Arabidopsis thaliana: one gene and its partners. The protein of the gene in region 1 purifies or fractionates together with the protein of each later gene. This does not show direct contact. Each region holds a gene or a part of one and is shown in the gene's direction. Other genes may lie near its edges. The genes, in order: PGK1, ATMDAR2, MDHAR and MDAR6.

Region 1 (4,528 bases):
TAGTAGAAAGATAATGAATTTGTAATTTGGCACTAAAAATAGGGAGATATTTAAAGTAAAGTTTGGTTAGTAGGTGAAGAGGTCCAAGTAATAAGAAGAAGAGACAGACACGCGACTGGCTCCTTTTATTTTATTTTATTTTGTCTTAAAGCTTTTGGCGAGTTTGCTTGTGTGTGAGTGTGTGGTTATGGACTCTCCGTTCAAACCTGATGTCGTCAGAGGTCAAGTGGCTCTCATCACCGGTGGTGGATCCGGTATCGGTTTTGAGATCTCTTCTCAGTTTGGCAAACATGGAGCTTCTATCGCTATCATGGGACGACGAAAACAAGTCCTCGATGACGCCGTCTCTGCTCTTCGATCTCTTGGAATCCAGGTAATCAGCGATTTTTGTTTTGAGGACTTTGTTTGTTGGATATGTGTTTGAATCTGTCTGATTTCTGTTTCGTTTGAAGGCTATTGGATTGGAAGGTGATGTTCGTAAGCAAGAAGATGCGAGAAGAGTTGTGGAAGCAACTTTTCAGCATTTTGGTAAACTTGATATTCTTGTTAACGCCGCTGCTGGCAATTTTCTGGCTGCTGCTGAGGATTTGTCTCCTAATGGCTTCAGAACAGGTTCCTTTTTCGTTTTCTCATTAATTTGATCATGATCTGAGAAGAATTATGCCTGAAAGTTTGTCAATTTAGCTCAAGGAAACGTTTTTTTGTTGTGCATGTGCAGTCTTAGACATTGATGCGGTAGGAACATTCAACATGTGTCACGCAGCTCTCAAGTATCTTAAGAAAGGAGCGCCTGGAAGAGACTCATCAAGCGGTGGAGGTTCGATTATTAACATTAGCGCGACTTTGCACTACACGGCTTCTTGGTACCAAATACATGTCTCTGCAGCCAAGGTAATTTGATTAGTCTGATAGAGTCATTCAATGTCTTGAGTTTTGGTTAGAGAATCAAGAACTAAGTAATAGGAACAAAAGATGTAGCAAAAATGTGATCTTAGGAGTTTGAAACTTGAAACAGGCTGCAGTTGATGCTACCACAAGAAACTTGGCATTGGAGTGGGGAACTGACTATGATATTAGAGTGAACGGGATTGCTCCAGGTCCTATTGGAGGTACACCTGGAATGAGTAAACTTGTACCTGAGGAGATTGAAAACAAAACCAGAGAGTACATGCCTCTTTATAAAGTTGGAGAGAAGTGGGATATCGCTATGGCTGCACTCTACCTCAGCTGTGATTCTGGTATGCTGAGTTAAATAAAGCACACTCTTTAATATAAAACATATATACATGGTTAGATGATGTAACTCATTGCTTGATTTGTTTAACAGGGAAATATGTGAGCGGACTAACAATGGTGGTAGATGGAGGACTGTGGCTTAGCAAACCTCGCCACTTGCCTAAAGAAGCGGTGAAGCAACTCTCTCGTGCGGTGGAGAAGAGGTCTAGGGCCAAGCCTGTTGGTCTCCCAACCAGCAAGCTGTAGATCATTTGAATTTCAGATATCAAATAAGTGCACATTGAAAAAATGTTTTGGTTTATTGAATTACATTGGAGACTGAGAAAATGGTATTAAGATTATGTAGATCAAACTATCTTATGCACAATAAAGTAGCTTTCTTTGCAAAAGAGGCAAAACAGTAACGAATATATGATCAAAAAGATAATCGCTTTTGAACCTCTCATCAGTGATAAGAGAGAAATATTCCAAACTCATAAAATCTCAAATGGCTAATAAATAAGAACATTGTGAGTCACTCTCTCTGTTTCTCATCTCCTCATCTTTTTATCTTCTTTGATTGATCCACATGGCTTCCGCTGCCGCAAGTTCCGCCTTTTCACTCCTTAAGTCCACCGGCGCTGTTGCTTCCTCCGCCGGAACTCGCGCACGTGCCTCCCTTCTGCCAATTCCCTCTACCTCTGTTTCCGCGCGTCCTCTAGGCTTCTCCGCCACTCTAGATTCCCGTCGTTTCTCTCTCCACGTTGCTTCCAAAGTTGAATCGGTGCGTGGGAAGGGAAGCAGAGGAGTGGTTTCTATGGCGAAGAAGAGCGTCGGAGATCTGACCTCAGCTGATTTGAAGGGGAAGAAGGTTTTCGTGAGAGCTGATCTCAATGTACCTCTCGATGATAATCAGACTATCACTGACGATACCAGAATCCGTGCCGCCATTCCAACGATCAAGTATTTGATTGAAAATGGTGCTAAAGTTATCCTCTCCACTCATCTGGTAATATTATTCCCACACACTCCTTACGTTTGATTCCTCCATCACCTGAACTAAAGTTGAACACTTTGATCTTTCAGGGAAGGCCAAAGGGAGTCACCCCAAAGTTTAGTTTGGCTCCTCTTGTCCCTAGGCTCTCCGAGCTTCTTGGTATTGAGGTAAAGTCCGTGATTTGTCTCAGTAATCAATCATCTACCTATGAGAATCAATCACTTGAGACAGCTTATTGATGGTGAATTTTGCAGGTCACGAAAGCTGATGATTGTATTGGCCCAGAAGTGGAAAGCTTGGTGGCTTCTCTACCTGAAGGTGGAGTTTTGCTTCTTGAGAACGTCAGGTTTTACAAGGAGGAAGAGAAGAACGATCCTGAGTTTGCTAAGAAGCTTGCTTCTCTAGCTGACCTTTATGTCAATGATGCTTTCGGAACTGCTCACAGAGCTCATGCTTCTACCGAAGGAGTCACTAAGTTCTTGAAGCCTTCAGTTGCTGGTTTCCTTTTGCAAAAGGTAATATTTTGATAGAGATTATTCTATTCAGCATTGAAGCATCGTTGCTACAAATGGTACCATGAACTTTTTGTTTACTTCTCTCTACCTCTATAGGAACTGGACTACCTAGTTGGTGCTGTTTCAAACCCAAAGAGACCATTTGCAGCCATAGTGGGTGGTTCCAAAGTCTCATCCAAGATTGGAGTTATTGAATCGCTTCTGGAGAAGTGTGATATTCTTCTTCTTGGTGGTGGAATGATCTTCACATTCTACAAGGCACAGGGTCTTTCAGTTGGTTCGTCCCTTGTTGAAGAAGACAAGCTTGAATTGGCTACAGAACTCCTTGCCAAAGCTAAGGCCAAAGGAGTCTCTCTTTTGTTGCCAACAGATGTTGTAGTTGCTGACAAGTTTGCTCCTGATGCCAACAGCAAGGTCTGTCTCTCTCATTTTGCAATTGCGTAATGCTTGGCAGTTTTAATTCTATATGTGTGCCTTATAAAAGAAAAATGAGAAGTAGGTGTTGTTAGTTATGTTCCTGTTTAAGCATGATGTTCTGTGTTGATGATCATCCTAAAGGAGATAGATGAGAGAATAGAATTGATTAATATTGATCTTGCTAGAGCTTTGTGTTCTGAGTAAAGTATGTCATGTGGATGTTTGTAGATTGTGCCTGCATCAGGCATTGAGGACGGATGGATGGGACTGGACATTGGTCCAGACTCTATCAAAACTTTCAACGAAGCTCTGGACACAACACAAACAGTCATTTGGAATGGACCTATGGGAGTTTTCGAGATGGAAAAGTTTGCGGCTGGAACAGAGGTAAGAAAATGATTCCTCATAGAGTAAACAAATGGTAGATGAAAATTAGATTAAGTTTGGGATTATGGTTGTTGCAGGCGATAGCGAATAAACTAGCAGAGCTAAGTGAAAAAGGAGTGACAACGATAATAGGAGGAGGAGACTCAGTGGCTGCAGTGGAGAAAGTAGGAGTAGCAGGAGTCATGAGTCACATCTCCACTGGTGGTGGAGCCAGCTTGGAGCTGTTGGAAGGAAAAGTACTTCCCGGTGTGATCGCCCTTGATGAAGCAATCCCAGTCACTGTTTAGAAACTCTTACCATCTATAAGGCAAACGCTGTATACTTAAAAGAGTTTCTTTCGCTTTAAATCTACCTATGCAAAACTTTACTATGTATCAGAGTCTCATTCCCCGGAAAAGAAAACTCACATATTAAAATTCTGAAAAAAAATATCAAGAGATAAGAAAAGACATGGACCAGACACTAGTAATCAATCAAAAGACACAGACAAGTACTTGTTCCAAAAGCTTTTGGAAGTCTTCTTGATACCATCATCCCTTTGAGTGTAGGTTGGGTAGTTGGAAGATGATGAGCCATAGTAGTAATCGCTTAATGTATACTCTTTCTCCTTCAATTTCTCCAGCTCTGCTTTCAGATCACTGTTGAGAATCTGCTCACAATAAACTTTATTGCCTTCAAACGCAAAGTACATCTTCCAGAACATTTTCTTGTCCCTCTCTTCCTCCATATCAAACTCTTGCAGCATGTTCCGCAGAATCAAAGGCCCCTTCTTCCTAAAATACCCTATTACGAAATCTTGAAACCCCGCGAGTGGCCGTTCCAGGATATCTAGCATCTGGTTACATGACTTGTTAGTGTTCATCAACACAATCTCTTGAATGTGGAGAAACACATCTACGATGTTGTAGCAGTGCTTATCTCTCAGTGACTTTTGGTCTTCAGGAGTACTCAAACGAAGGTCATACGGATGGTAATAGAAACTCGGTGCTTGATATGG
Region 2 (5,207 bases), on another chromosome or scaffold:
AGGGAAATTATAATGTTTCTCTCTTGAATATTCAAAAGTTAAAATAACATTAACTTATTGAAATTTTTACTAGTTTTCTTAAAGATAAGCTGATTTTTAAAGCATTTTAAAGTATTCTTAAAGTTTAAAATGTTCGCAAATTCAGGAAGATATGGACCACAACAAATAATTTAGTAAACTTTGTATATTAATTAGGGTTGTCACCATGTTTTTTTAGGTAGAACATAGAATACTCAATACTCTCATACCGAAATAATAAAGCTTTATGTGAATCACATCCGCACGTAAAAGTGTCAACAAAATTTAAGTAACTTAATACGTGAATAATGTAACAATTGCAAATTATCACATACCCTATATTAATATCGGTCTTCTAAATAGTAACGTTGACCTTTTCTTGACTTGCTAATAAGTTTATACTATTAAGTTAAAACATCTTTCATTATGGTCAAATATTTGAGCCCTTGTGCTTAGCACTAAGTCTGCATCTAGGGTACAAGTGAAAGTTATGTTCGCATTTTTGAAAATTTATTTCTAACAACAGGTCAGTTGACTTGGGAGTTTTGGAATAATTTGTAATATTGTATATGGATCCAACAAAGTGAGTACTTCATAAAAACTATTCGTGGGTATTCTTCGAAATCTGATAGATCGGACCGGCCCATTAACAGAAGCCCGTCAATATCTATAACCACAACAAAAGTAACCGATGAATTTAGTCAGTCATTTAGATCCTTTCTTCTACATGGTTGTCACTTGTCACTGTAAGAAGTATTCGTCATCCTAGCATCTTCCAAGAAGATTTAGTAACAAATGTCAAAATCATGCATGCAGTAAACTAAAAATAGTACTCTTTGTATTCGAGTGCTAATTACTAATCTTCCAAGAAGATTGGTAACAAATGTCAAAATCATAAGGAATAATTATAATACAAAGTACATTTTAACTTATTAACATATGTCAAAATCAATAGGGTACTTTTGATACGTCCGGTAAATTAGTGTTCTAGTACAGCCCTATCTCTGTTCTTTTCTCATTAAATTGGATTTGAAACTCTCATTATTGTAGGCATGGAAGAGTTTTAGGCCGCCAAGGTCCACATCATTAATAGTTTAGGTCTTTAATACAGTGACATTACATCATTAATATTTAGGTCCCAATTTCTGGAAATTCTATCTGGTTGGAATTTAGGTCATCATTCTTGACAATTTTTTCTCCTCTTTTGACTAAAATCCAAATCATCTTTCCTCTCAAAACTATTAATGTAATACTCTTATTCACATTAGGTCATATGTTAATGTTATTGTAATATACTAATTATACAAAACTAGGTAGTTTCTTTCTTTACTGTAGTAGATCTTAAAACATAAGATAACGACATAAATCATTTAGATTATTAGTAGTTTGATTAATTACTATAATTTATGGTCTTAAGGTTATTCATCTTTGTTTATGCAAACAAAATCATATGATTAGTGTAGTAAATACATATCCTTTTTGTACTATCGGGTTTAGGGATCAAGATAAGGTCCTTGTTTTAACTGTCTTTACATTATATCCAAATAAATTATGGAAATGATTCACTGACACAAATAATCGAATTAAACTTAAAGTCTTAAACTATACATAAAACTACAGATTGGTCTAATAAAGAAATTAAAACCAACCAACAACTCCATAAAGATATTCTACTATATTCATCAATTTGACTAGTGGTTGCTGACACTAGATTTATGATTCCTTTCATATATTTTCTCTTGGTAATTGGTATGTAAATAAAATTCTCCAAATATGAAAGACTGAAAGTGAAATGTAATCAGTAAACCGAGTAATACCGGAATTTTAAATCTGAATGTCCGTTTTACATCGACCAGATCTGTCACGTGTTAAATAAGACCGGGTCAAAAATATAAGACGCTGACTTGTAACGGTTCGATTTCGATTTGTGCACGAAGCGGGATATCTAACGGTTTAAATTAAGCCACGTTTAAAGATTCCTTCTATACTGGACAAAGTCCCCTATAAAAACCTCTGACCCAATCACATTTCTCGGATCCAAAAAGACGAAGAAAAGGAAAAAAGACAAATCAAAGAGAGACGATTCGATCGCATCAATGGCAGAAGAAAAGAGCTTCAAGTATGTGATCGTCGGAGGTGGTGTCGCCGCCGTAAGTCTCTCTCTGTTCTTCTTCTTCATCGGATTTGTTTTTTTTCCTCAATCTCTTCGCTTACGAATCATCACACTGTACTACTGCTCATTTGTATCCTTATCACTCTGAGAAGTAGAGTAGATTGTATCGCTAGATCTAGTGATTTCTATGATTACGGGAAGATAGGAACTAGATTCCCAATTTATTGTTGTTTTGGGATGTTGTGATTCACAGGGATACGCGGCGAGAGAGTTCTTCAACCAAGGTGTCAAGCCTGGTGAACTTGCTATCATTTCCAGGGAACAAGTAAGTTTTCATGACTTGGAACTAAATTTAAGCTAGATTCTTGTCTTGTTATTTATAGTATTGGCAATTTTTTGGTGTTAATTAGGTTCCTCCATATGAGCGTCCTGCACTTAGCAAGGGATATATCCACCTCGAAAGTAAAAACTTCATTCTACATCATTTGGAGATTTAGTTTAGTCTGTGCGTGGTTTCTGAATTAGATTTGTTTGTTCTTATGGTATATAGATAAAGCTACACTTCCGAATTTCTATGTTGCTGCTGGAATTGGGGGAGAGAGACAGTTCCCTCAATGGTACAAAGAGAAAGGTGAGTTTCCTTTTTTTTTGTGCTTTAAGCGTTTTTTTAGCTCAATGTCTCTCATTCATTCTCATATGTCGTTTCTGCAGGTATTGAGCTGATTTTGGGCACAGAGATTGTCAAAGCAGATCTTGCTGCGAAGACACTTGTCAGTGGGACTGGACAAGTCTTCAAGTACCAAACTTTGCTAGCTGCAACTGGTTCTTCTGTGAGCACAATCTATCCTTGCACTTCTTACTTTGGAAGTTTCCATTTTTAGTCTCTTTTTTCTTTTTGCATCTCTTCTAAGGAATTTCTTAAATTGTGTAGGTCATAAGGTTGTCAGATTTTGGCGTCCCAGGTGCAGATGCTAAGAATATATTCTACCTGAGAGAACTCGAAGATGCTGATTACCTTGCTTATGCAATGGAAACAAAGGAAAAAGGAAAGGCTGTGGTTGTTGGTGGCGGTTACATCGGTCTTGAACTCGGTGCTGCTCTGAAGGCTAACAACCTCGACGTTACCATGGTTTATCCAGAACCTTGGTGCAGTAAGTTGATACAAGCCAAACCACTACCATAGAATTCTCATCGTATTCCCTTTGCTTAACACCTTTCCTTTTTGTTGTGTCTTTGAAAAGTGCCTCGGCTTTTCACCGCTGGCATTGCTTCCTTCTACGAGGGTTACTATGCCAACAAAGGAATTAACATTGTCAAAGGCACTGTTGCATCTGGTTTCACTACCAACTCAAATGGAGAGGTTAGCAATTAGCATCACCGTTCAAACTTGACAAACAGCAGTTTTTCTCTCCGCTGCTTCAACAATATCTCTCTGTTGCTTAATGATGCAGGTCACTGAGGTGAAATTGAAAGACGGAAGAACGTTAGAAGCTGATATTGTGATAGTGGGTGTCGGTGGTAGACCAATTATATCACTCTTCAAAGATCAAGTTGAAGAAGAGAAGGGTGGTTTGAAGGTTTGTGACTTGCATACTCCATTTTCTTCTGTATCTGAGATATAGTTCTTATTATTATTGTTTACTCATGAGATCTTTCTTTGATTGCAGACTGATGGGTTCTTCAAAACAAGCCTTCCAGATGTATACGCCATTGGTGATGTAGCCACCTTCCCAATGAAACTCTACAATGAAATGAGACGCGTTGAACACGTTGACCATGCTCGCAAATCCGCTGAACAAGCCGTAAAGGTAATAATTATAATGCTTCTTCAACCTGTCTTAATGAAGGAGCTGTATAAAATCATCCTAATTGAATCGATTGATATAATGATTTTGTAGGCAATCAAGGCGGCTGAGGAAGGGAACTCAATTCCGGAATATGACTATCTTCCATACTTTTACTCTCGAGCCTTTGATCTCTCATGGCAATTCTACGGTGACAACGTTGGAGAAAGCGTATTGTTTGGGGACAATGACCCGGAATCGCCAAAGCCGAAATTCGGGAGCTACTGGATTAAAGAACGGAAAGTGGTTGGAGCATTTTTAGAAGGTGGAAGTCCTGAAGAGAACAATGCAATTGCTAAACTTGCACGAGCACAACCTTCTGTTGAGAGCCTTGAAGTGCTATCTAAGGAAGGCCTTTCCTTCGCCACAAATATATAAATTGCCTTTCTAGGTTGTGTGTTAGTGTGAGCTTTGAGTTCAGAGTGGCTTTTATGTCACTTTGCTATTATGATAGCAGAGTCGACATTTTTGTTATTTGTTTGACCCACTTTCTTGTGATTGTTTGGTTCCAAAATAAAATTGAAAGCTACTCAATTCACTTTTCTGATATTTCTTTCTTCGAAAATGGTACACCAAACTTGTTGGAAACATTTCAGTCACTTTTCTCGGATCCGGCGTTACAAAAACCTTGTCTTCATATGAGTTTTTTATGTCCAAATTTTGTAGACATTTTTACTAACTTGTTGGAGATTGGTCCTTCTCCAACAACACTATTCAAGTTTTAATTCGACTAAAGTTTGGGAGAATTATTGTATATGTTCCTATTTATTTCAACACTAAAAAGGAGAAAAAAAACAACACTAGAAATAGAAATCATAACCAAACACTAAAAAACAAAAAACAAACAAACAAGGGTCTAAAAAAAAGCAGTCTTGTCTTTTTTAACGGTAATCGTTATCCGATCGAAACAACAGAATTGGACTTCTCACAAGATGTCCTCTCGAATCATCCCATTCCACAGAAGCAGACACAATCCCTTTCATTGTCTCATCCCAAACTCCATCAATCACAACCTTAAAATTCCTCTTCTCTTTAGGCCTCTCGAAACTCATAACCTTAGGCACAACCTCAACTCTCAAACCCTTCGGTGCCCAAACCCTAGCCACGTAGGTCGATGGTCCGTATCCGACATTCGTCACTGTTCTATAGAAAACTTCCGACACTTTCGCTTCCGTAGAATTCACTTGCTTGTGCAGTGACGGATAATTTAACCCGTCGGAACCTAACCCTCG
Region 3 (5,356 bases), 1.0 Mb from region 1:
GTCCCTAATTCATTAATTCTCTTACGTTTTCTGGTTTGTGTAAATAATATACATTCTTTTTCTTTGGGCAAAAATATAATATTCATTCTTAAACGGAAAGTAACATGGTATAATTGAATGAGACGGTGACGTATATACAGCCAGACTGCAGTAATAATATTCGTGAATCGTGATTATAAATTCATAATTACGTACATCTCCTTCTTAATTAACTTACTCACGCAATTCCATTCATGGCTAAAATAATGTGCTCTTCACCAAACGTTACTAACTTACCAATTTTATACACACATCATCTTTTCTTTTGATAAAAGCTCTTCCCCTTTGTGGTATTGTTCTTAATTACGATAAATATCTTCAATGATTAAAACCCAATTCATTCCCCTTGTTGCTTCTTTAATCGAACTCATGAGGTGGCTTATATAAATGGTATAATTAATGTGGATTAAAATTGTACCCTTTAATTCATGTAATGTGTCATTTCCGTTTCTTCACGTAATCTCACCGTAATCTCTATATATAAGCACACAAGCAACACAATCGATCATAAACCAAAAAAAACGAGAGAGAGAGATGGGGAAGGGGGGTTGGCTTCTTAACTTTCTGAACCATGCCAAAAATCAAGAAAGTGTGGAGAATCTTGACAAAAACGGTGCCGTAAAGGCCCCAAGCAGTGGGTTTAAGATGCCGTTGCATTACCCAAGATACACAAAGGAGGATTATGAAGAGATGGAAGAGTGGAGATTGGATTTGCTTCTCTCGGAATACGGACTTCTTGCCTTCCATGACAATACTCTCCATGAGAAGCGAGCTTTTGCAATCGACACTTTTATATGGCCTCATCACCCATAATTTCATCTCCTTCATTTATCTTGTTTATATTTCTTAAGAGTAACGGAGATTGTAGAGATACAACATTGGAAGAGATGACAAAAACCGGGATATCAATCTACCGGATATATATGTCACAAAAAGATTTTAGTATATTTTTAGTAATTTGATTTCTACTATATTCTTTAGTTTTCATTAGATCTCTTTATGTTATGTTATCTATATAAGTTTGGCTTTGGATTTTGCATATATTAACCTTTCCGTTCAATAAAATATAGTTTTACCGCTTCTTATGGTATCAAAGCCTTCATCCAAAACTTACTCAAATGAGATTGACTCTCATGTTAAAACAGAGAAAAACAGAGAAAAAACAAAAGATCATTAAAGTCACTATATAAACATCATGATTCATCTCCATCTCCACCCTTAATTTCTTTACTAGTCCGTTCGTTCTCGCCACTATTGTTGTCCGTGATTGTACTTCTTCATAAGCATCACTGAGGAAGCAAATTCTAAAACAATAGTATCTTTTAACAATCATAAAGTAAAACAGTTTTTTTTTTTTTGTTCTTATATATATACTACTTATTACACATTTAAACTTTGGTTTTGAACAGTGAAAATGTTGCTTGCAATTTTTTTAACTTTGTAGAAATCAGGCAAGTTCTTAAGTTGACAAATGACATATACTAGTAATTTTCACGAACGTTATCCCACTAAAGTAGTCATACCCAAAACAAAATTGTTTAAATAAAAGTAACTTAATTATATCATTGAGATTCGAGTGAATAATGCCAATGAAATTTAATATTCATTATCTGACACTCTGAAACTATGATTAACTACATAATTATTTAATTTAACGTTTGTACCAGCTAATAGTATACACGTTTTTATGACAAACATTTTTGAATTTTTTGAGTTAAAAAATAATAATGGTTTTCGTCGTAATAGGAGAGGACAGACAATTCCAACGTGATATGTACGTTTATCATGTTACTTAGTCAGCAGATCATTTCTTCGGATTATATAATAGCTATTTAGAAACATTAAAGGTGTGGATTATATTATAGTCAAGTCTTTCCAATATGAATATTATATCATCCACCAATACATAATTATTGTCAAATACAAGTTGAGTCAGATTAGTCAAATACAGGCAACCAAGACTCGAGATCCTCATCGTCTCTCCACTTTATATAAACCCCAAGTCAGTACTTCTCATAATATACCAAAAACGAAACTGAGAAAGAAGTTTTATTTATTAATTAATGGCGGAAGAGAAAAGCTACAAGTACGTGATCATTGGAGGTGGTGTAGCCGGCGTAAGTAAATGCATTTTCAATTTTGAACTTTTCTTTTGACAACAACATATCTTTTATCAAGTTTAAATTCGATTGTAACACAACAACAACAACAACAATAACACTAATACAAACCAGTAAATTACATGTTTTGCCCAACATTTTTATCAACTCGCATTGTTCAGTTTTGTAGATGATGAGACTTTTTTTGTTGACTCTGTTTTTTTTTTGTTTTTTTTTTTGGCTTAAGAATCATTGTTCAGTTTGTGTTCATTCTTTGCTTACAAATCATCGCTTATTTCGCATCCGTGCTTTGCTTACGAATTCCTTTCTCTAACTCTCTGTTATTTTACTCTCACTTTTACATGTAAATCCCTTTATGCTTATTAAGTTATTATACACAAGAAATTGTTTATGATTTTCTTCTATTAAATGTTATTCATGTAACGAATACGCATCTCTCTGAATTGACTTTTTTTTTTTTTTTTTTTTGGGCATTTCGGAATCACAGGGTTACGCGGCGAGAGAGTTTAGTAATCAGGGCCTGAAGCCTGGTGAACTCGCAATCATTTCCAAGGAACCAGTACGTTTTTTCACTCTTATGACTTATGAGCGTTTGCATGTTACAATTTGGTGTTTTGCTTTTCCAAATAATAATACCACTACTTTTTTTGTTTGCAAACGTCAATTGAAAACACAAATACAAGCGCAAACTCTGGTTGCATTTGCATTTGCGTCTCAAGTTTATGAAAACTATTTTTAGAAAGTCGAAATAATTAAAGCCATCCTTAATATTTGATTGTCTAGTCTGAAAATTGATGTTGAAGTCCATAACCATGTTTTTTTTGTGTGTGTGTCAATAGGTGCCTCCTTTTGAGCGTCCTGAACTAACCAAGGTATATATTGACCTCGAAGGTAAACCTTTTAACTCTAAAACATCTCTGTCAATGGATATATTTTAATTGCTATCGGATTTTGGTTAACTTTGATCATCATTACAGTCAATCCGACCCTTGCAAATATCTATGTTTGTGCTGGAACTGGAGAAGCGAAGCAGTACCCTAACTGGTACAAAGAGAAAGGTAATGTTTTGTTTATGTCTTCTCCGAGAAATCTCTGTGATTTCACTTGCAATATATTTGGTGATCTGAGATATTCAAATTTTACAGGGATTGATCTAATTGTGGGCACAGAGATAGTCAAAGCAGATCTTGCTTCAAAGACACTTGTTAGTGATGATGGCAAAATTTACAAGTACCAAACTTTGCTAATTGCAACCGGTTCTACTGTGAGTAAAATACTTATGATCTCTTCCTCTCTCTTTCTGTTCTTTGTTCTTAGTTCATCTCGAGAAACTCTAATATTTTTTGCAGAACATAAGATTGTCAGAAATTGGCGTCCAAGAAGCAGATGTTAAGAATATATTCTACCTAAGAGAAATCGAGGATAGTGATGAGCTTGCCTTGGCTATGGAACTATATGTGCAAAGGGGAAAGGCCGTCATCATTGGCGGCGGTTTCTTAGGGCTTGAGATAAGTTCTGCTCTAAGGGCTAATAATCATGAAGTGACCATGGTTTTTCCAGAACCTTGGCTTGGTAAGTTGATACTTAACAAAAAACATTTTAGCTAAATAATTACACTGTATTCGTAACAGATTTTCCTCTGTTTTATCGTTGTATAGTACACCGGTTTTTCACCGCTGAGATAGCTTCATTCTATGAGAGTTACTATGCCAACAAGGGAATCAAAATCATCAAGGGAACTGTAGCAACTGGATTTAGCACCAACTCAGATGGAGAGGTCACTGAGGTGAAACTAGAGGATGGAAGAACCCTAGAAGCTAACATAGTTGTCGCTGGTGTCGGTGCTAGACCGGCCACCTCACTCTTCAAAGGCCAACTTGAAGAGGAGAAGGGTGGAATAAAGGTTTATGATTTACCCTACCGGCGAAAAACAGAGCTCTTGTCAATTACCATAATTAGTGATTAATGATTATTCGTTTTGATTGTAGACTGATGGGTTCTTCAAAACAAGTGTGCCTGATGTATACGCACTTGGAGATGTAGCCACATTCCCAATGAAAATGTATGGCGGGACGAGGCGTGTTGAACACGCCGACAATGCTCGCAAATCTGCTGCACAAGCAGTCAAAGTACGAGCATTTACTAGCTTGATTCTATAGTCGAATATACCAAACTCTTCTATATATACTAATGATGGTGTTTTGCAGGCAATCAAAGCGGGTGAAGAAGGGAAAACGATCCCAGATTACGATTATCTTCCCTATTTCTACTCTCGATTTTTCAAACTATCGTGGGAATTCTATGGGGAAAACGTTGGAGAATCTGTACTGTTTGGAGATAATGACCCGAAATCTCCAAAGCCAAAGTTTGGGACGTATTGGGTTAAAGATGGGAAAGTAGTAGGAGTGTTCCTAGAAGGAGGTACTCAAGAGGAACACAAGGCTATTGCTAAAGTGGCACGAGCACAACCTTCCGTTGAGAGTCTTGACGTGTTATCCGAGGAAGGCCTTTCTTTCGCCACCAAGTTCTATAGCACCTCTCTTTGAGACATTGGGTCTTGTTTAGTCACATTGATGTAATAATCTCCTTTGTCTTTGATTTCATATCGAGCCCCTATTGTATTTCGAAAAATAAATTAAATATAATAATGCATTTTGTTTGGATTATCAAAACATTGGATTTTAAGTTCTTTCATTCGTCATGATAGACATTCAGTTTTGGATGCACATGAACACATGGCATTGGTCATGCTTTTGATGACACTTTGAGTCAGACCAAAATTGTCACATTTTAAAAAAAAAGTCAAAACACAACTGAAACTTTAAATTTTTTGAGAATCAACTATCAATTACACACATAATTCAACGTCAATTTAATTCATAAGTAATATAACACATGTACTACCAAATCACACCCAATATTCGCTAACTTTTTTTTTTAACAACAGAATCGTGCTTCTCACGAGATGCCTTCTCGAATTATCCCATGTCACGGAAGTTGATATCATCTCAATCTTCGAAACCCTAATCTCCTGCTTTATCAAAACCCAGGAAATGCTTATCTCTCTCCAAGCCCCACCAATCTCAAACCCTCGGCAAGATCTCCACTTTCAACCCTTCCTCTGCCCACACCCTAGCCACGTAGATATTCGTCACTGTCGGGTAAAAAATCGCCAACGCTTCGATCGTCTCCTCTGT
Region 4 (6,385 bases), on another chromosome or scaffold:
GACGGAGCAGATTATGTCCGTGACTTGGCTTCGTAAGCTGATGGATGTTTTCCTCTGTTGCGAAGCTGAATTCAAAGCGATTTTGTTAATGGGTCGTGACCCGACCCAGATTTCTAAGCCGCCTTTTGACCGGTTAGTTCCTGAAATGTTAGACCGGTCGATTAAAGCGCTTGACATTTGTACCGCCGTTGTTAACGGTATCGATTCCGTTAGACATTACCAGCGTTTAGCTGAGATTGCTGTGACGGCTTTGGAGCAACGTCCGTTAGGTGACGGTAACGTGAGGAGAGCTAAACGCGCGTTGGCGAATCTCGTCGTCGCGTTGAGTCTCGAGGATAAAGAGAATGTTAGCGGCGGAGGTGGTGGCGGCGGCGGAGGGAATAAGACGACGGAGAGATCGTGGTCGTTTGGTCGTCGAAGCGGTGGATCATCGGCGGCGAGTAAAGGAGGAGCAACGATTGGTCAGCTCAAATCGTCGTCGTGGGCGGTTGGGAGAAATTGGTCGGCGGCGAAGCAGATCCACGCAATGACAGCGAATCTTACGCCGCCACGTGGTAACGAAGCGGCGGGATTGCCTCAACCAATGTTTATAATGAGTACGGTGATGGTTTTCGTAATGTGGGTGCTAACGGCGGCGGTTCCGTGTCAGGAGAGATCAGGATTAGCGAATCATTTACCAGTGCCGCCGAAACATTTGAATTGGGCTCAGAGTTTGATCGGAATCCATGAGAAAATCGGAGATGAGTGGAAGAAGAAAGAGAAGAAAGGATCTGCTGGATTGATGGAGGAGATGACGAGGATGGAGAAGCTAGGTCACTCGTTGATGGAATTCGCAGATGGATTTCATTATCCGGCGGAGAAAGATGCTGCTGAATCTGCGGCGGTGCAAGTGGCGGAGATGGCGGAGATATGCAGGAGAATGGAGGAGGAGCTTGTGCCGTTACAGCAACAGATCAGAGAAGTTTTTCATAGGATCGTGAGGAGTCGTGCGGAGATTCTCGAGGTGTTGGAGCAAGCCGGGAAAGTTTCGGCGCCAGTTGTGTAAAAGTTTTGAATTATTGGGAATCAATTTCGAAGTTTTGTAATTCTTTGGGGGCTAATAGGATATTTTATTTTCTTGGTTTCGTCTATTGTTGTTTTTCTATTTATGGTTGGGCTTTTAGAACTCTGGACAGGCCCATGTCATATGTTTTCCCTTCTCCTTATATTTTTCATTTTTCATTTTGTTAAATTAATGCATAATATCCAAAAACAATTTAAATTTTTGAAGGAACCCTTTAGTTACGGCTCCGAAGCTTTCACAAGTGAGAATGTGAGATCAAAGAAGGCAAATGGAGGATTTTAAAAGTTAAAATCATCTTTTATCTGCAAAAGTTGACAATTTTTTTGTATCAAATCTAAATCATCAAACTCTCTTAAACTACAAGAGCATAACAACCTCTATGTAATCCATGAAATAATCTGCTTGAAGGACATAACATAAATCATTATGGCTAGAGTGACTAACTTCAATCAAATCCTCTTAACTCTAGCTCCCTTACAATGGTATCGTAAAACATTATGCATTAGGGATTGTTGTCCTAGGAAAATAAAATAAAAATCCCCACAGACCAACTACCATTTTAACTTAAAAATAAGCTTCGTCCGCGACGAATTGTTTTCCATCCTAAAAATAGAATGGTGTAATCTGCTAATGGTTTAGTTCCATTAACTTGCAAGTTCTATTGAAAGCCTAAATGTCAATAAAGATATTAAAATTCGGAGTCAAAAGACAAATGAATCAAAAGCAACAAGACAAGTCAGCTCCATTCTTCACTACCCATCTTTTACAATAAATCATCTCTCTTTTCACAAATTTCAAACTACTCTCATTGCCCTTTAGCTTTGTTATAGAGCCAACACTACAGAGAGACTCACACACTTGTTTCAATAATTAAATCTGAATTTGGCTCTTCTTATAAACTAATGTCTGCAGGTCTTCTTATCTCTCTCACTCACCACCATCTTCTTCCTCGATTGTCAAAACCCTAGATCGAAATCTTATCTCTCTAATCTGTTGTTACAGTTCGTAGAGTCATGGCGTTAGCATCAACCACGTTGCCGACGAAGTCCGGATTATCTCTTTGGTGTCCGTCTTCTCCGTCTCTCGCTCGCCGATTTCCCGCTCGTTTTTCTCCGATCGGTTCTAGAATCGCTTCCAGAAGCCTCGTCACTGCTTCGTTCGCTAACGAGAATCGCGAGTTCGTATATATAATTCTTCCAATTTTGATTCTGGCGTTGATGAATTTCTATGCGATTGATTGTGTGATTGTGTTAGGTTTGTGATTGTTGGTGGAGGAAATGCTGCTGGTTATGCTGCTAGAACTTTTGTGGAAAATGGAATGGCTGATGGTCGGCTATGCATTGTGACCAAAGAGGTGATTCAAATCGATCCCTTAGTGTTTTCTTCATCAGTAACACTATTGGTTTTACTTTGTTTGATTGTTGGATTTGTGGTTGTTATTGTTAGGCTTACGCACCTTATGAGAGACCGGCTTTGACAAAAGCTTACTTGTTCCCACCAGAGAAGAAGCCAGCTCGTTTACCAGTAAGCTTTGCCAACTTTAATGTTTTGATTCGATCAATTTGAGTGGTTCTTTTAGTGCTATTGCTCTTAATTGGCTACATGAACATTATGGAATGAGTACCGGTAGATTGTTTACAGTGTTACGATTGTTACTGATATGAAGATTTGTATGATTTAGTTTTGTGATCTCTGTTTATATTGAGGGTGGTCGTATATGCAGGGATTTCATACTTGCGTTGGAGGTGGTGGAGAAAGGCAAACACCAGATTGGTATAAGGAGAAAGGAATTGAGGTAATTCATCTTCTGATACATAGTTTTGTTTTCTAAAATATATGAATGTAAGTGAAGTGTCTTTGGTTTGATTAACTGTACAGCTTGGAATGTACGTCGGTGAATTTGTGGTCTTCTCTTGTGTCTTACTAATGCATTTTGTTTGGACAGGTAATATATGAAGATCCAGTGGCTGGAGCTGATTTTGAAAAGCAAACACTCACCACAGACGCAGGGAAGCAGTTAAAATATGGATCTCTAATTATCGCTACAGGGTGTACAGCCTCAAGGTGAGTGAAAGTCGCATTTTTTTTGCAATGATTGATAAACAACATCAGAGAACCTAGGCCTTTTCAACCATGTATACTGATATTATGAATATTTGCTCTGGATTTTTATTGTAGGTTCCCAGATAAAATCGGTGGGCACTTGCCAGGGGTTCACTATATTCGGGAGGTTGCAGATGCTGATTCACTGATAGCATCTCTGGTAAGCTAAGGGCATTTTTACCAGTTACCAGTTTTGTCATCTTAATGCAATGTTGTAATATGCGTCATCAGAAAAATCCAAATTTCCTGGCTACAAAATAACCTTCCAATATGTGATACAGGGAAAGGCAAAGAAAATTGTCATTGTTGGTGGTGGCTACATCGGCATGGAGGTTGCTGCTGCAGCTGTTGCGTGGAATCTAGATACAACGGTTATTATCCCTTTCACTTGAATTTTTAAATTGTGCTAGAAATGAAGAATACTTCTAATCATTCGATGAGTTAAACAAATTCCTAGAAACGTTCAGATAAATTGTGGAACAGATGTACTAACTTACAGTTGCTTTTGGGCTTTCCCATGTGGAACAATAGATTGTATTCCCTGAAGATCAGCTTTTGCAAAGATTGTTCACTCCATCGCTTGCTCAGAAATATGAAGAACTGTACCGTCAAAATGGTGTTAAGTTTGTCAAGGTAAGATATCAGCACACGATCAACACCTTATACTGAAGCCTTTGCTTTCCTGCAAACCTAAGAATTTCAGAAACACAGTGTGCAAACTTGAATTTCTCTTTCTGTTGAACAGGGCGCTTCCATAAATAACTTGGAAGCAGGTTCGGATGGGCGTGTATCAGCTGTTAAGCTTGCTGATGGGTCTACAATTGAGGCAGACACGGTATAGTTGTAGCTCAGCTTCACTTTTTTCTTTCTCAAATGATGCAAATTCAACAACTTTGATCAAATGAAAACTGTGAAGGGTCAATGTAATACTGACTTTTGTACGACCTGTGTATCCTTACTTTACAGGTTGTAATTGGAATTGGAGCTAAGCCTGCTATTGGCCCCTTTGAAACTTTGGCCATGAACAAATCAATTGGAGGAATTCAGGTATTATTATTACAAAACATCCGGATTTATTTTCCAAGATAATCGGTTTTCAGAGTTAGAACTTCACAAGAAACTACATCAGTATGTTGATACAATTAAAAGTTTGATAAGAGCTCATCTTCAACCACAGGTCGATGGCTTGTTCAGGACAAGTACCCCTGGAATTTTTGCTATTGGAGATGTCGCAGCCTTCCCTTTGAAGGTACTTTGCTGCTAGATAATATATGTTAAGCCATCAATTATCTCGTGAAGTGCAAACTCATCATCTTATTGTCTGATGACCAGATATATGATAGGATGACTCGAGTTGAACATGTTGATCACGCCCGCCGCTCTGCACAACACTGTGTGAAATCACTACTCACGGCACACACTGACACGTAAGCTTCTTCCCTGGAAAGATCTGTAGACTTTGCCTGTATCCCTTAACGGATATTCACCTATTAGTTCTTGTCTTGCTCAATATTTGCAGGTACGATTATCTTCCATATTTCTACTCAAGAGTATTCGAGTATGAAGGAAGCCCAAGAAAAGTGTGGTGGCAGTTTTTCGGAGATAATGGTAAATCTATTTGACCTAAATATGACGCCATCCAATTACTCAAACAATATTTCCACTGTAGCTAAACCACTGATTCATACTGGCCAGTGGGAGAAACAGTGGAGGTTGGGAACTTTGACCCGAAAATCGCTACCTTCTGGATTGAATCTGGTAAATAATTCCTTCAGCCTTTTCTCACTTCAGTTAACCTTGCACAAATACACAGCTTAGCAAATTAACTAACTTTGATGAGTAATTATCGTAACACAGGCAGGTTGAAAGGTGTTCTAGTAGAAAGCGGATCGCCTGAGGTAAGAGTCTTTCTTAGCATCTCCCTCGTTAACATTCTGAATTAGCCAATCTTTAGAGCATCATGCTTCTTTAGATCTGCGAGACTAAAATTAGAATATTTTGGAACGGTCATTGAAACTTGACAATAGCAATTACATCAGCATGGGTTTTGTTTTCATGTAAATATGTTAACTATATGGATTTTAATTGCTTCCATTGTTATGTATATCTCTTGAAACAGGAGTTCCAGCTTCTACCAAAGCTAGCAAGAAGCCAACCACTTGTCGATAAGGCTAAACTCGCAAGCGCATCTTCAGTCGAAGAAGCTCTCGAGATTGCTCAAGCCGCTCTACAGAGTTAGAGAAGGAAACTTCATGGAGTTTTTTTAATAGCTTTTGGGTTCAGAGAAATCAACATCTTTTATTCCCGGTGAGAGTTATTCATCTTTCCATTGGAAAAATGATCTATAGAGAGCACTGTTGTCAATAATCTCCTCGAATAATTTATAACCTCTTTTTGGGATAATCATATTTTGCTCATTAGAGAGCTTTGTTTCTAATAAAATCTATGTTAGTCACTGAGATAGATAAAGATCGTTTTCTCATGATCTATGGGTTGTTTCGTGGATCATTAAAATATTTATTTATTTAGATTTCTTTTATCGACTGTAAACCATAAACGAAATTTGTATAAACAATAATGAAGACTTTGTTATAATTCACGCAAGGATTTGTTTTGCGGCACGTAATAGAGTCTTGTGGGATTGATTGCGACATGTAAAAAGGTTTTTGTAGCCTAAACGCGTTTCATACGCCATAGAAATTTATTTACTGCCTATGAGTTCTACAATTGAGAAAGTGTCAAAGTGGTTATGAATCTATGATAGGTTGGGCTTTTATGATTGGTTATGAATGTTGCAAAATCGTATAAATTTGCGGAATGGTGGGAATAACAAACTAAAAAAATCGTGATTCTGCAGAACCTTGTGGTTGGTAAATATCTATGATAGCCAAGGTTCATCATTGATAGGGGAAATCATTCGGCCAAGATGTCAAAACTGTTATAAACTCTTCTCTAACTCGATCTATATTTTAATATGACATCATTCTTGGATTAACACAAGAGACCATTGTTTTGCAAAAACAACACCCTCGGTTTTTAATGGGTGAAATATTGCAAAATGCAAACAAACGTGTAATGTTGGTAAAACTAAAAAAAACAATTGATGCCAAATCCAATAACAGAAAAAGGCATTGAATGACTCTTTCACTAATAACAAATTTGAAATTGGTATATGACTAATAAAAAAAAAGTTAGAAACAATTAGTAATTATCGACCGT

What was found.
Region 2: the proteins of PGK1 (region 1) and ATMDAR2 fractionate together in Arabidopsis thaliana (co-fractionation; one large-scale study listed by BioGRID). This does not show direct contact.
Region 3: the proteins of PGK1 (region 1) and MDHAR fractionate together in Arabidopsis thaliana (co-fractionation; one large-scale study listed by BioGRID). This does not show direct contact.
Region 4: the proteins of PGK1 (region 1) and MDAR6 fractionate together in Arabidopsis thaliana (co-fractionation; one large-scale study listed by BioGRID). This does not show direct contact.

What each region holds. Positions count from the first base shown.
Region 1 is NC_003074.8:4,060,417-4,064,944, reverse strand, and holds PGK1 (phosphoglycerate kinase 1), read left to right. Parts: upstream 1-1,638; 5' UTR 1,639-1,804; coding exon 1,805-2,224; intron 2,225-2,301; coding exon 2,302-2,379; intron 2,380-2,466; coding exon 2,467-2,727; intron 2,728-2,823; coding exon 2,824-3,141; intron 3,142-3,372; coding exon 3,373-3,531; intron 3,532-3,608; coding exon 3,609-3,818; 3' UTR 3,819-4,000; downstream 4,001-4,528. Other genes in the region: SDRB (short-chain dehydrogenase-reductase B), read left to right, coding at 188-373, 453-612, 719-891, 1,016-1,238, 1,328-1,482; AT3G12775 (ubiquitin-conjugating enzyme family protein), read right to left, coding at 4,001-4,528. UniProt on the Arabidopsis thaliana protein: May trigger the phosphorylation of FTSZ2-1 and FTSZ2-2.
Region 2 is NC_003076.8:921,524-926,730, reverse strand, and holds ATMDAR2 (Pyridine nucleotide-disulfide oxidoreductase family protein), read left to right. Parts: upstream 1-2,002; 5' UTR 2,003-2,114; coding exon 2,115-2,168; intron 2,169-2,384; coding exon 2,385-2,456; intron 2,457-2,541; coding exon 2,542-2,593; intron 2,594-2,681; coding exon 2,682-2,762; intron 2,763-2,842; coding exon 2,843-2,961; intron 2,962-3,062; coding exon 3,063-3,282; intron 3,283-3,372; coding exon 3,373-3,491; intron 3,492-3,582; coding exon 3,583-3,708; intron 3,709-3,798; coding exon 3,799-3,939; intron 3,940-4,029; coding exon 4,030-4,353; 3' UTR 4,354-4,683; downstream 4,684-5,207. Other genes in the region: AT5G03620 (Subtilisin-like serine endopeptidase family protein), read right to left, coding at 4,857-5,207. UniProt on the Arabidopsis thaliana protein: Catalyzes the conversion of monodehydroascorbate to ascorbate, oxidizing NADH in the process.
Region 3 is NC_003074.8:3,055,850-3,061,205, reverse strand, and holds MDHAR (monodehydroascorbate reductase), read left to right. Parts: upstream 1-1,961; 5' UTR 1,962-2,102; coding exon 2,103-2,156; intron 2,157-2,646; coding exon 2,647-2,718; intron 2,719-2,998; coding exon 2,999-3,050; intron 3,051-3,136; coding exon 3,137-3,217; intron 3,218-3,304; coding exon 3,305-3,423; intron 3,424-3,508; coding exon 3,509-3,731; intron 3,732-3,817; coding exon 3,818-4,062; intron 4,063-4,147; coding exon 4,148-4,288; intron 4,289-4,366; coding exon 4,367-4,705; 3' UTR 4,706-4,831; downstream 4,832-5,356. Other genes in the region: AT3G09950 (uncharacterized protein), read left to right, coding at 574-852. UniProt on the Arabidopsis thaliana protein: Catalyzes the conversion of monodehydroascorbate to ascorbate, oxidizing NADH in the process. Required for producing sufficient ascorbate to maintain the interaction between Piriformospora indica and Arabidopsis in a mutualistic state.
Region 4 is NC_003070.9:23,728,130-23,734,514, forward strand, and holds MDAR6 (monodehydroascorbate reductase 6), read left to right. Parts: upstream 1-1,745; 5' UTR 1,746-1,965; coding exon 1,966-1,975; exon of another isoform or gene 1,976-2,065; coding exon 2,066-2,240; intron 2,241-2,317; coding exon 2,318-2,417; intron 2,418-2,509; coding exon 2,510-2,587; intron 2,588-2,786; coding exon 2,787-2,858; intron 2,859-3,008; coding exon 3,009-3,127; intron 3,128-3,241; coding exon 3,242-3,326; intron 3,327-3,447; coding exon 3,448-3,537; intron 3,538-3,697; coding exon 3,698-3,799; intron 3,800-3,911; coding exon 3,912-4,001; intron 4,002-4,132; coding exon 4,133-4,213; intron 4,214-4,343; coding exon 4,344-4,415; intron 4,416-4,498; coding exon 4,499-4,593; intron 4,594-4,685; coding exon 4,686-4,774; coding exon of another isoform or gene 4,775-4,788; exon of another isoform or gene 4,789-4,861; coding exon 4,862-4,924; intron 4,925-5,023; coding exon 5,024-5,064; intron 5,065-5,285; coding exon 5,286-5,405; 3' UTR 5,406-5,845; downstream 5,846-6,385. Other genes in the region: ROH1 (uncharacterized protein), read left to right, coding at 1-1,045. UniProt on the Arabidopsis thaliana protein: Catalyzes the conversion of monodehydroascorbate (MDA) to ascorbate, oxidizing NADH in the process.